Linked DNA regions of Caenorhabditis elegans. The protein of the gene in region 2 purifies or fractionates together with the protein of the main gene of each other region. This does not show direct contact. Each region holds a gene or a part of one and is shown on either strand. Other genes may lie near its edges.

Evidence for each region. The genes of interacting proteins can lie anywhere in the genome.
Region 1: the proteins of fib-1 (region 2) and rpn-1 fractionate together in Caenorhabditis elegans (co-fractionation; one large-scale study listed by BioGRID). This does not show direct contact.
Region 3: the proteins of fib-1 (region 2) and nola-3 fractionate together in Caenorhabditis elegans (co-fractionation; one large-scale study listed by BioGRID). This does not show direct contact.

The regions. Positions count from the first base shown.
Region 1 is NC_003282.8:6,905,868-6,911,891, reverse strand, and holds rpn-1 (26S proteasome non-ATPase regulatory subunit 2), read left to right. Parts: upstream 1-1,978; 5' UTR 1,979-1,987; coding exon 1,988-2,086; intron 2,087-2,147; coding exon 2,148-2,872; intron 2,873-2,919; coding exon 2,920-3,859; intron 3,860-3,934; coding exon 3,935-4,774; intron 4,775-4,820; coding exon 4,821-4,931; intron 4,932-4,976; coding exon 4,977-5,118; intron 5,119-5,167; coding exon 5,168-5,256; 3' UTR 5,257-5,472; downstream 5,473-6,024. Other genes in the region: ribo-1 (Dolichyl-diphosphooligosaccharide--protein glycosyltransferase subunit 1), read right to left, coding at 62-981, 1,045-1,209; T22D1.17 (Col_cuticle_N domain-containing protein), read right to left, coding at 5,513-5,632, 5,722-5,895.
Region 2 is NC_003283.11:15,000,142-15,004,114, reverse strand, and holds fib-1 (rRNA 2'-O-methyltransferase fibrillarin), read left to right. Parts: upstream 1-2,005; 5' UTR 2,006-2,089; intron 2,090-2,145; 5' UTR 2,146-2,146; coding exon 2,147-2,186; intron 2,187-2,234; coding exon 2,235-2,418; intron 2,419-2,465; coding exon 2,466-3,016; intron 3,017-3,063; coding exon 3,064-3,347; 3' UTR 3,348-3,462; downstream 3,463-3,973. Other genes in the region: mut-15 (MUTator), read right to left, coding at 1-89, 135-258, 307-782, 825-993, 1,041-1,113, 1,161-1,206, 1,249-1,316, 1,366-1,402; rps-16 (Small ribosomal subunit protein uS9), read left to right, coding at 3,578-3,727, 3,772-3,973. UniProt on the Caenorhabditis elegans protein: S-adenosyl-L-methionine-dependent methyltransferase that has the ability to methylate both RNAs and proteins. Involved in pre-rRNA processing.
Region 3 is NC_003279.8:10,177,268-10,179,788, reverse strand, and holds nola-3 (Putative H/ACA ribonucleoprotein complex subunit 3), read right to left. Parts: upstream 748-2,521; coding exon 553-747; downstream 1-552. Other genes in the region: C25A1.16 (uncharacterized protein), read right to left, coding at 145-223, 271-422, 471-551; fath-1 (Fatty acid 2-hydroxylase), read right to left, coding at 1,215-1,279, 1,520-1,677, 1,726-2,112, 2,160-2,263, 2,312-2,446, 2,499-2,521. UniProt on the Caenorhabditis elegans protein: Required for ribosome biogenesis. Part of a complex which catalyzes pseudouridylation of rRNA. This involves the isomerization of uridine such that the ribose is subsequently attached to C5, instead of the normal N1.

The DNA.
Region 1 (6,024 bases), on a different chromosome or scaffold from region 2:
ATGTTAACCAACATAATAACTTTTTTTGAAAACTAACGCAATGAGTAAAATGAAAACTTACTTGACATGTTCTGGAAGAAGAACTTTAGTGCGCAATTTCTCTACAACAATATCATTGAACACATGATCGAACAACTTTGTTTTGAGAGCATACTGATTTCCTTTGCTGTACAAATACTCTTCCGATGGCAAATTGTATCCGATGACATACGACGTCTTCCATCCTCCAAAGAGTGGGAATCGTGGACGAATCTCAACGTCAACGCTGTCAGCACGGATTCGTACAGCGGATGTAGAAATGTTTCCGATCTCATCACGATAATAGATATCTTTAGCTTGAGCAGGAAGAACTGTGGTAAACTGTTGGAGTGCTGGTTGGCGACGTCCACGACGGTCCATTTGGTAATCGATTCTTGAGAATGGACCATCAAGCTCAGCTCCCTTGTGAACCAATTCAATGTACTCCTCCACAGCGATGTTTCCCCAGTGAGAAACCTCGATGAATCTTTCCACGATGGTGGCAATAACGAATGGCGAGTTATTTTCATAATGAACTTTGACTGGTTTCGTCTCAAAAGCTGGGATATTAACATATGGTCCGTAGATGACACGTTCCGTTTCTTGTTTCGATGGAGAAACTGTGGTTGCGGATAGAAGCTTGCCTCCTTGAGTGGTTCTAATAGTTGTTTTTTGGGTCACAGTTTCGTACAGGGAAGGAACGTATGCAGATGTGTGAAGAACAACAAATTGACTGTCAGATTGCTGAATCTTGGATGGGAGTGGCTCAAGTACTTGTGTGATACGAAGATTGATTCTTATGGTAACTTTGGCTCCCTTGGCAACAGGAGTTCGGAGGTCTACTTCGTAAACTGCAAGATCCTTTTCGGCTGGTTTTTCAGAAATTTTCAATTTTCCTTTGCTTCCATCGATTCCAGCAGAAATGAAAGAAAGAGTAGCAGATTCTTCTTTAGACAAAGCAATCTGAAAAATAAAGTTGAAATATAGGAAATATAGTGAATTTTCAGGAAAAATATATCTACATACCAAAACTTTCGATTGAGGTCCATTTCCAACGTTCTCAAATGAATACAATGTCGAAACCTTGACAATTTGTGACGTGGCATCGATGGTTCGGTCAACATTAGCGGCTTTCCAAGCGTCTTCAGCGAAAACCGCCCCCAGGAGAGCGATGGCAAATAGCAATCGCATCTGGAAAAATTAGATATACAATCAAAAATGCAGAAAACCCAAAAATGTCATATTAAAACGTTTCAAGAATGAAATTCGACTGATCGAGCAAGACGACATCTATTTGGAATTTAATTAATCAGCTCGTGTTAAAAAATTATCTATTATTACAATCTCAGCACAGAGTAACTTTATTTTGTCACAAAATCATTTAGCAGCAAAAATTCGCATGTACAGACTAGAAAAATGATATTTTTGTTTGGTGAAATCAGCAAAATTCATTATAAGAGCAAATTTCAAGTGTATTATATTGATTTGATGCATAAATTCTGCGAAAATCTATCTTTAAATTACAATAATTTCAGCAAAAAAAAGAGAAAGACGTGGTAAACTCGTCCACGTATTTTGAATCGGAGCCATTCGTGGCGAGACCCACCAGCCGGCATGATGACTGCGCCTTTAAACAAAGTCTGTTCAAATTATCATTTTTTCCGCGAACCGGCGCGGATTTTCAGATTTTCTAATCCAATTGTCATCGTTTTGTTGTTTTTTTATTCTTTTATTCGGATTAGATGTATTTCACTCTTAGTTTCTATTCCTTTTTTCCAAACTCTGACTCTCAAAATAGTTATTTTTCGATGTTTTCATAAAGTTGAAAAATATTCACGTTTTCGAGGGAATTAGTATTTGAATACGCTGTTATAGTTTCTTCGTGACTTAACTGTTTTGTTAATTCTATAAAATTCATTTCGAAATCTCAGCTTCTCTTTCGAATACATATATTTTGAAGGATCGAAAAATGGTGGCGACTACTCAACAGACACCAAAAGAGGCGGACAAAAAGAAAGCCGACGATAAAAAAGTTCCCGAGAAAGCTGAGCCAAAAAAAGAAGAGATGGTTAGTTTAAAGAATAACTATTGTTTAAGCCGTAATGAGACTTATAGCTTATTTATTTCAGAGCGAAGAGGATCAAAAACTCGAGGAGGATCTCAATCTTCTTGTTCAGCGTTTATCTGAACCGGACACAACACTTTACAAGCCATCACTGGAGACTATGCGGACATTGATTCGTGCTTCAACCACATCGATGACCTCTGTTCCAAAACCTCTCAAGTTTATGCGTCCGCATTACAATAAAATGAAGGAGATTTTCACATCGATCGTGGCGCCTGACGTTAAGAAACTTTGCGCAGATATCATTTCAGTGCTCGCAATGACATCAGATGAGCGAACCGACACGATCAACTATCGTATTCTTGGATCACACGAGCCGATCGGGGATTGGGGACATGAATACGTTCGTCATTTGGCGATGGAAATGTCAGAGGAGTGGAAGAAGGAAGGCACTTCGGATGCGAGAAAAGCTGAACTCCTTAAGTTGACTCAGGATATTGTCAGCCATCACATGAAACACAACGCAGAAGTTGAAGCGTGCGATTTGCTCATCGAAATTGAGCGTATTGATTTGCTGATCTCTTATGTCCAAGAAGTTGATCACCAACGTGTGTGCCTTTATCTTCTTTCATGTGCCCCATTGACTCCAGACCCGGATAACATTATTCTTATTCGCACTGCTCTCCAACTCTATTTGAAATTCAACCGGTATCTTGAAGCTGTTAGATGTGCTATCATGGTCAACGATATTCCACAGGTTCATCAAATATTTGCGAAGGCATCTGACCCGTAAGTTAAATATAACGTCTCTTACTTTCCTAAAGAAAAGTTTTCAGATTGCTTCGAAAGCAAATGGCTATCTTGCTCGGTCGCCATCAGATTTTCCTTGACTACGAGGGATCTGCAGATTCGGATGCTCTTGCCGAACTGAATTCCAATGCTCATCTCTATGAATACTTCCACTCCTTGGCTCGTGAGCTCGACATTATGGAGCCTAAAACTCCAGAAGGAATTTACAAATCTCATTTGGAACATTCCCGGCCATTCGGAAACTCTGCTCAGCCAGACTCTACTCGCATGAATCTCGCCGCTGCGTTGGTGAATGGATTCGTGAACTGTGGATTCGGAGTTGATAAAATGATGGCTGAAACAGAGGAAGCCTCCAGATGGTTCTACAAGAACAAGGAATATGGAATGCTTACTGCAGCCGCCTCACAGGGTCTTATCTGGAGATGGGATATCGATACCGGCCTGGCACAATGCGACAGATTCTTGTATATCAATGACGATTATATCAAGGCTGGAACCCTTTTGGCTATTGGTATTATTTCCTCTGGAATTCAAGATGCTTGTGACCCTGCTTCCGCACTTCTCCTTGATCATGTTCAATCTGATCGGTCAATTATGAGAGTAGGATCAATTCTTGGACTTGGACTTGCCTACGCTAATTCCAAAAGAGAAACCGTTACAAAGAATGAGGAACGCGGTGTTATTTTCGAGCTCAAGAAAGTTCTTTCTGATCAAAAGCCATCGGCTATTCCTGAAGTTAAAGGACTTGCTGGACTTTCTCTTGGCCTCATTCTTGTTGGAACTGCTGATGCGGAAGCTGCGATGGAGATGCTTCAAGCTCTAATGGATAAAAGCGAAACTGAGCTCACAGATCCAAATATGCGTTTCCTTGCATTGGGAATTGCATTGATCTTCTTGCAAACTCAGGACAAGAGTGATGTGTTTGTCGAAAGTCTCCGTTCACTTCCTGATCCATTTGGAGCGATGGTAAGTATTATTTGTTCTAGATCACCTCGAGTTTTGGCTATTCCCTTGTTCATATCATAATGAATACAATTTCAGGTTTCTACGCTCGTTGAAGTTTGTGCATACGCAGGAACTGGAAATGTTTTGAAAATCCAGAAATTGCTCCATCTCTGCTCTGAACACTACGAGACGCCAGCAGCTGAGAAGAAAACTGCCGCTTCTCGTGGACCGCGTGGACCAGCCCCAGCTGCTGCTACACCTGCTCGTCCTGCTGCGCAACCTGGAAATGTCAACGTCGCTGGCACTCCAGCCCCAACTGGAACACCCGCCGTTGCCCCAGCTGCTCCGAGACGCGACCTTCCAGGAGCCGCAAGTGCTGCTACACCAGGAGCTCCAGAGACTGCTGCCGCCGACGCTACTCCAGCACCACCTGCCAAGCCAGACTTGTCATCGCAACAGGCGGTTGCTGTACTCGGAATTGGTCTGATTGCTATGGGAGATGACATCGGATCTCAGATGGCTCTTCGCATGTTCGGACATCTCATCAGATATGGAGAACCAGTTATCCGTCGTGCTGTTCCCTTGGCGTTGTCACTTCTCTCCGTCTCAAATCCTCAATTGAACATTTTGGAAACTCTGTCCAAGTTCTCTCACGATTCTGACGCTGATACCGCTCACAATGCTATTTTCGCGATGGGACTTGTTGGAGCAGGAACAAACAATGCTCGTCTTGTTGCTATGCTCCGAAACCTGGCTTCTTATCACTACAAGGATCAAGTTTCTCTAATGCTGGTCAGAATTGCACAAGGACTTACTCATCTCGGAAAAGGAACAATGACGTTGAACCCATGGCATTCTGATAGGCAATTATTGTCTCCAAGTGCTTTGGCTTCTCTCCTTTCAATTTGCTTCTCTTTCCTCGACGCCAATAACACGGTTAGTGCAAGATTGATATTTCTACCATAATTTATTTCAAATTTAGATTCTCAACAACCGTCAGCATTACTTGCTCTACACGTTGGTGCTCGCAATGCAACCAAGAATGCTTACCACACTGGTAGAAGACGAAATGAAGCCTGGAAGCTTGAAACAGGTATAATTTTTTTAAAAGTTTCAACTCTCCAATGTGATTTTACAGTTGAACGTTTCTGTTCGTGTTGGTCAAGCCGTTGACGTTGTTGCTCAAGCCGGAAAGCCAAAGACAATCACTGGATTCCAAACTCATACTACGCCAGTCTTGCTTGCCCATGGTGAACGTGCCGAGTTGGCGAACGATGAATGTATGCCATCCTAACATTTGATAATTAATTTTTAACTAAAATATTTCAGATCTCTCTGTGACTCCACATCTTGAAGGATTGGTTATTTTGAAGAAGAATCCAGATTATCAGCCGGTTGTTGTATCAACTAAGAAGTAACCAACAAATTTATGGATCTAATTTATTTTTCTCCCCCTTTTCTCCCATCTAAATTATCCGTTTTGACCCGTTTTATTGTGCACAATCCGATTGCATTCGCTCTCTGCCCGATTTCCCGTTTTTCTGTCAATTTTCCCTCTCCCTCATCATTTTTTCTTTGAAAAAAACGTGTACACTTTAAATTTGAGTGGGACGGTATTCGAGTAAATTATTACTTTCAATCTTATCATCCTGGGTTTTATATATGTATTAATATTTATTGATCACAGGAATTTGAAGATCTTCTAGGTATCCTTATCAAAGTATCGAATATATCAGAAAATCCGTCAAGGTGGCGATTGTTCGACATTAGATTTTCAGCATCGTTCGCATACATCTGGAAATAAAATTTAGAATGTTCAAATGTGAGTTTGGAAATTTTAGTTTTTCAGTTTTTAGAAAAGTTTAATGAATTATTACACTCACCTCAAAAGTAGCCTTTTTATCCATAAAAACATCTTTCATTTCATCAATTTCATTAATAATATCACTTGTCAAATATATAACAACAAGTGTCATAATTGCCATAAAACATAAAATTCCAATAGCAGCAAAATCAGCGATGAAACGAAATTTGTATAAAAATTCGGATGTATTCATAGTTTCGAAAAAACTATAAAGTTTCAAAATTTGATGTATTAAATGGAAAAGTAATAGAAAGAAGAAGCAAATGACCAATACAATTAGACAAAGAATTGAAAACTACAGAAAACAGGTGATAAAAGATAA
Region 2 (3,973 bases):
CTACCGTTATCTGCCGCTCTTGCATCTCTTTCTTTTTTGATCAACATGGTTAGTATCTTCAGTTTTTGTGTTGATTCGGTCAAATATTGCTGAAAGAATGAAAGATTAATTCAAAATTTAGACTCAGTAGTTACCGAGACAATTGCGGGACTTATATTATTATTCTCAAGTGTGCTCTCCTGGGTCGGAAGTAGACTAGCAATTTCACTGATAGGACGTACCAACTTGCATTCGATATTGGAAAATACATCACGAACTCTGGAAACATTCTAAGAATAGCACAAATTTTGCGAATATTGCTCGAACCTCGGATTATCAGCTTCAATGAGCACAGGTCTTTCCATTTTACCTTTGCAAAACTCGAGTGTTTCGGTTAACGAGGCAACTGAACTTGAGAAATGATACGCGAAGATGAATCGTGTCAAAGAACTTTCAAAAGTTTGAGCGAGACGTCCGAGTGAGTCGGCAAACTCACTGTTCCCCTTCAACTTCTCGGCATTATTAATGATAACAAAACGTAGAACAGATATAAAATCATCCAACTGTTCCATTTCATTCTTCAGCTTATCGATATACTCTTTGATTTTTTTGAATGAACCAATGAAAACTCTAGATCTATTCGATGTCATGAATTCATTTGACAGCTCAGTTGTGTCTAGATTTGTTATATGTGTATTTGGACGAGTGGAATTAGAACTTCTTCTCTTGTTGAGTAGGCCTCTCATTACAGATTTCGAGCGTTTACCGTCTGTAGTTATAATAATGCATCGCGGAAACGGTTTCTGAAATTAGAATCAGTTATCACTTCCACTAGCTTGGCTAACCCTATGCGAACGAAATCTGTCGATGGAGTGCAAGATGGGTTGTCCGTAGTAAAACTCGTGATTTGGGCCTGAATGAATGCAAAACAAATGTTCGCCGTTGTGAAAACGCCCGAGACTGCAATATAAAGCATCTTGCAATGTTCTCCATGGACTGTAGCCTCGGCGGCCACTGAAAATATGAATGTATTTTCAGAATTAACGACGGGATCGAATGACCTGATTGAAAACTTCATCAGCTTCCTCGTTATTTGCAGCGACCCGGTTTCAGACGATCTCACATACGCTACTTCTTCAAAGTATTAATTTCGATGGTATCTTTAGTATGATATTTCAAACCTTCTCTTGAAGCTGCCGGTCCCCACTCTGGGTTATGCGCTCGAGCCTGGAAAACATGAAATAATTGCAGTCATTCATTAATCTCAACTTCTTTGACCGAAAAACATGATCTCCTTGCATTGCCCAATCCATCAAGATCAAAAGCATTCACGACACCTGAAATGAATAAAATAAATATCCCATTTAGCTCATCAAAAATTGTCACCCATGCTACATATGCCGATTCCATTGGAGTTATCCATTTCTTTGATACTTATCTAAATACTTCCATTCAAATCCTGTTATTTAAACCCGTGCGCGATATCTGAACAACTCCGGAGTGTTTTTCAATGCTCGACTCGCTCCAGCAATCGATAAACAGAATGGGAATCGGTTTCGCTGCGTTCAAAACATCGGCCGGAATATTCTGGTTTCTGAGACAACGAAACGTGAAACATCTATCAAGTTTTCAACCTTTTTTCGAAGCCATGATTAGTATCATAATTTAAAACCTGTTTTTTTGCTTGACGTTTTTGCATATTTCAATCAAAACCACCTTTCATATCGCTTTGATTTTCAATTTTAGAACAAAGCCCCGCCTACAATTGCCTGATTTCGTTCTACGCGAGCTGTTTGCTTGCGAATCGATAAAGTGTCGGTTGTGTGGCAAGTGCGCTCCACTGTGCAGGTCTCGCAGCGATTGCCATTTTCCACCGTAGTTCCCTCCAATGTCTTCTCCATTTTCGTAATTTTTTGGTTCGCCCAAATTTTTTTTCGTCATTTTTTGCCTGAAATGTTCGTTTCTTCTCAATTTTTCTTGGATTTTAAGAGTAGATTTGAGAATAGTGGATGATTCTAGTCGATTCAGATCGACTGGAGCGTGATTTAAATCCATGACTCTAAGTGAAATGGGATAATTCTCAATCTTACTCGGCTCTCCCACGGCTGAGGTATGTATTTTTCGTAATTTCGCTTTTCGTTTTTGTTAAATAATCGATTTTTGTAGTATGGGACGTCCAGAGTTCAATCGTGGCGGCGGCGGCGGAGGTAAACTGAATTTCAGGATTTTTTCGTATTATAAATATTATTTTTCAGGTTTCCGAGGTGGACGCGGTGGAGACCGTGGTGGTAGCAGAGGTGGATTTGGAGGCGGTGGTCGTGGAGGATATGGCGGAGGTGATCGTGGCAGTTTCGGTGGAGGTGATCGCGGAGGCTTCAGAGGAGGACGCGGAGGTGGAGACCGCGGTGGTTTCCGTGGAGGAAGAGGCGGTGGTGATCGGTTTGTGTTTTATAATTCTGTTCGCCATCAAAACGATAATTTTTCAGAGGTGGTTTTGGTGGCCGTGGATCACCAAGAGGAGGATTCGGAGGACGTGGATCTCCAAGAGGCGGAAGAGGATCACCACGTGGTGGACGCGGAGGAGCCGGTGGAATGCGAGGAGGAAAGACTGTCGTTGTCGAACCACATCGTCTCGGTGGAGTATTCATCGTGAAAGGAAAGGAAGATGCTCTTGCCACAAAGAACATGGTTGTGGGAGAGTCCGTGTACGGAGAGAAGAGAGTGTCCGTCGATGACGGAGCTGGCTCAATCGAGTACCGTGTGTGGAATCCATTCCGTTCTAAGCTCGCTGCTTCCATCATGGGAGGATTGGAGAACACTCACATCAAGCCAGGAACCAAACTTCTCTATCTCGGAGCTGCTTCTGGAACTACTGTTTCCCATTGTTCTGACGTCGTTGGACCAGAAGGAATCGTTTATGCTGTTGAGTTCTCTCACAGATCTGGACGTGACCTTTTGGGAGTTGCCAAGAAGAGACCAAACGTTGTCCCAATTGTCGAAGATGCCAGACATCCACACAAGTACCGCATGCTTGTCGGTAAGTATTAAATTTAAGCATTTTTGTGTTTAATATTTATATTACAGGAATGGTCGATGTCATCTTTTCTGATGTTGCTCAGCCAGATCAAGCTCGTATTGTTGCTCTCAATGCCCAAAACTTCCTTCGCAACGGTGGACATGCCGTCATCTCTATCAAAGCTAATTGCATTGACAGTACTGCTGAGCCCGAGGCTGTATTTGCTGGTGAAGTCAACAAGCTGAAGGAGGAGAAGTTCAAGCCACTTGAGCAGGTAACCCTGGAGCCGTATGAGAGAGACCACGCTGTCGTGGTTGCTGTCTACCGCCCAGTCAAGGGAAAGAAGGTCTGATCTCCAAAATCATCGTTACATTTTTTTGTTTTGTTATTTTGTTACATGTATACCTCCATCTTGATCGTTAACACTTGTTTTACTTGTTTCCCAATAAAATGTTGTTGATGCTGTCATGTTAGGGATGTTTTACTTTTATCTTTACTTGGTTCTCAACCTTGCCGATATTTCTATTCTACTTTAATTGTAACCTTTATTTTGTTCTTTGTTTAATATATTATTACAGGGTAATGACGTCTACCGTGCAATCGGTTCAGACCTTCGGGCGCAAGAAGACTGCCACCGCTGTCGCTCACTGCAAAAAGGGACAAGGACTTATCAAGGTCAACGGTCGCCCACTTGAGTTCTTGGAGCCACAGATCCTGCGCATCAAGCTTCAGGTTTTTGTTCCGACATTAAATTCCAACTAACTTGTATTTTTCAGGAGCCACTTCTCCTCGTCGGAAAGGAACGCTTCCAGGATGTCGACATCAGAATCCGTGTTAGCGGTGGAGGACACGTTGCCCAGATCTACGCTGTCCGTCAAGCCCTTGCCAAGGCTCTCGTTGCCTACTACCACAAGTACGTTGACGAGCAGAGCAAGAGAGAATTGAAGAACATCTTCGCCGCTTACGACAAGTCCCTTT
Region 3 (2,521 bases), on a different chromosome or scaffold from region 2:
ATTTGTAATGAGGATTCAACTTGCAATACAATTCCTCACTTTTTCAACATTTCATACTTTATTTGAGAGACAACAACAATGAGAAGAAAACAACAAGAATAGTACAAAAAGAATAAGAGAAAACGGTGGAAAAAAGACTAAAAGCTAGTCGTCAAGATCGTATTTCGAAACAATTGGGGGTTTGATGCGTAACTTGGGATCTCGTTGTCGTTCTAGGGCCTCTCTGAAACCATGAAAATATTATCAATGATTTTTTCAATTTACACAAACCTTCGATCTTTGCCTTCTTGTGGAGTTAAAAAGCGACCTTGCATAGTTTGCTCATCGACAGTCCAAAGGAACATATCGTTGAGAGTATAACCAAAAGCTTTCCATCCAACGAAGAAAAGAACAAAAGAGACGATGATACGACGACGAGACACCTGAAATTATAAAATATCGTTTGGAAAAATGCGAGATTTGTAAATTACCTGTTGATAATTGATAGGTTTATTGGGGGTGAAAGAGCGGATTTTTTGCCGCAACATGCGGCGCCACTCCCAAACCAGCATTTTAGCAAACGGTCTTTGCCTTCTGGGTTGGCAAGAGTCCGAAGCGCTTCTTGATGATGATGCGATATTTGGAGTTCTTGTCTTCCGGCGAAAAGCGAGCTGGATGAGCGGTAAGAGTTTGCTCTCCAGATGGAGCAGTTCTCTTCAAAGTGTACACTCTTTGTTGGTTCTCGTCCAAGAAGTATCTCAAGAACATTGTCCGTTGAAAGTAGACTGAGTTCTGAAACTATCAATGATTTCTAAAACTTCTGAAACTATAGAGAAATATGAAATAAATACGGCGCATTGCAACGAAAAAAAGAATTAGCGAGAAAGAATGAAGGGGTGATTTCATTAGATATTTTTAAAAATTATTCCAAATTTCACGCATAACAGAAAGAAAACAAAACAAGAAGGAATATCACAAAATGTTTGATGGAAACCGGTAAGAAGTGAGGATAATAGGCACGTGCTGAGTAGCTGATCTATATAGATAAAATGTGAAAACAAGTTGAACTAATCTGGCGTACGAGAAAAGAAAAGGTAAATCGATAAATATATATGTACAACGGGTATAGTGGATCGTGAGAAAAGTGAATCGGGACAAGAGACTTAGAGATAAAAAACGTGAGGCAGAGTTCACTCAATAAACAACAAATTTTCCGAAAAAACATCTATGTATTATTATAATGGGCCCATTCCGAGTGTGTGGAAAACATAATCCCAAAGAGAAGTCGAAATTCCGAAGCCTGAAAAATGAAAATAGGCCTGAAATAGGGAAAATGATAGAAAAATTTCGATTGCGAAAATGAAAGTGCAAACGCGCTCCATCGCAAATCTGTGTAATTTTCCGTCAGAGAACATTATATTTCACGACAATTTGCAGATTATAGAAAATCTCAATTAAAAAACAGTTTTTAATGTTCTTGACTTAAAAATAACAAATTAAAAATTGATTTTTAAACAAAATCCCGTTAAATGTAACTTACCGACGTCAAAGTTTTTGAAGTGGTGATTATGATGATATACTTTTCTAAAATGTAAATTGCTGCGTGGACGAGGACTTCCGTGATGTAAATAATAGTGTACCATATCGTAGGTTACATATCCAAATAACTTTCCAGCGCCAAACGCGCAAAACACTGGCCTAAAACGATTAACTGAATATGGGAACCAGGAAAGGTTTAATACTGACCATTGGAAGGTATTGGAGTAGATTAAATAGAAAATTCCAACAATCAAAGTAGCTGGAACCGGAGGGAACACAAGGCGGTCTCCGTCCATCGGTGTTTTATGGTGAAGTCCATGAGCCAAGAAATGAAGAAGAATCTGATTCGGCGAATCTGGAGACGGCTTCCAATGGAAAACCCATCGATGAAGACTGTATTCAGTGAGAGTCCATGTCAAAACTCCAATGACGAACCAGGCAGACCACAGGAGAATCGAGTTATAAACATCGGTGGATGTTGAAAATGAGAGCACTGAGAGGATAGAAAAAGTAATGACGATCGGCATCCAAACAGCAGGGACCACCCACCAAGCTGTTCTTGTCATGCTTTCCAACACATCCGAATCGAAAAGTCTGAAAAAAAGTGAAAATTTGCATTGAAAAGTCGAGATCATCAATACCTTAAAGTTCCATCATATGGTTGATGAATCCAATGCCAATATTCAGAGCCAAGAGATCCAACTTTGAAAAGCATTCCGGATTTAGACTCAATCAATGGATCACCCTAGAATTTTAGAAATATTAATAATTAGATTTGATGGAAGGAACGAACTTTTTGAATTGCATTCACATTATATCTCTCGAGCATATTATAAGCGGCTTCCGAGTGCTCATGACGTACACCCATTATCCTTTTTTCTCCTCTGATAAATTCTCCAATTTCTTCTCCAGCCAAACGATTCAGAACCTATAAAAAGTTTGAGATTAGTAAAATATCCTAAAACTTGAAAAAAAGTTACCTTGGCACCTCCCGGATGTTTAG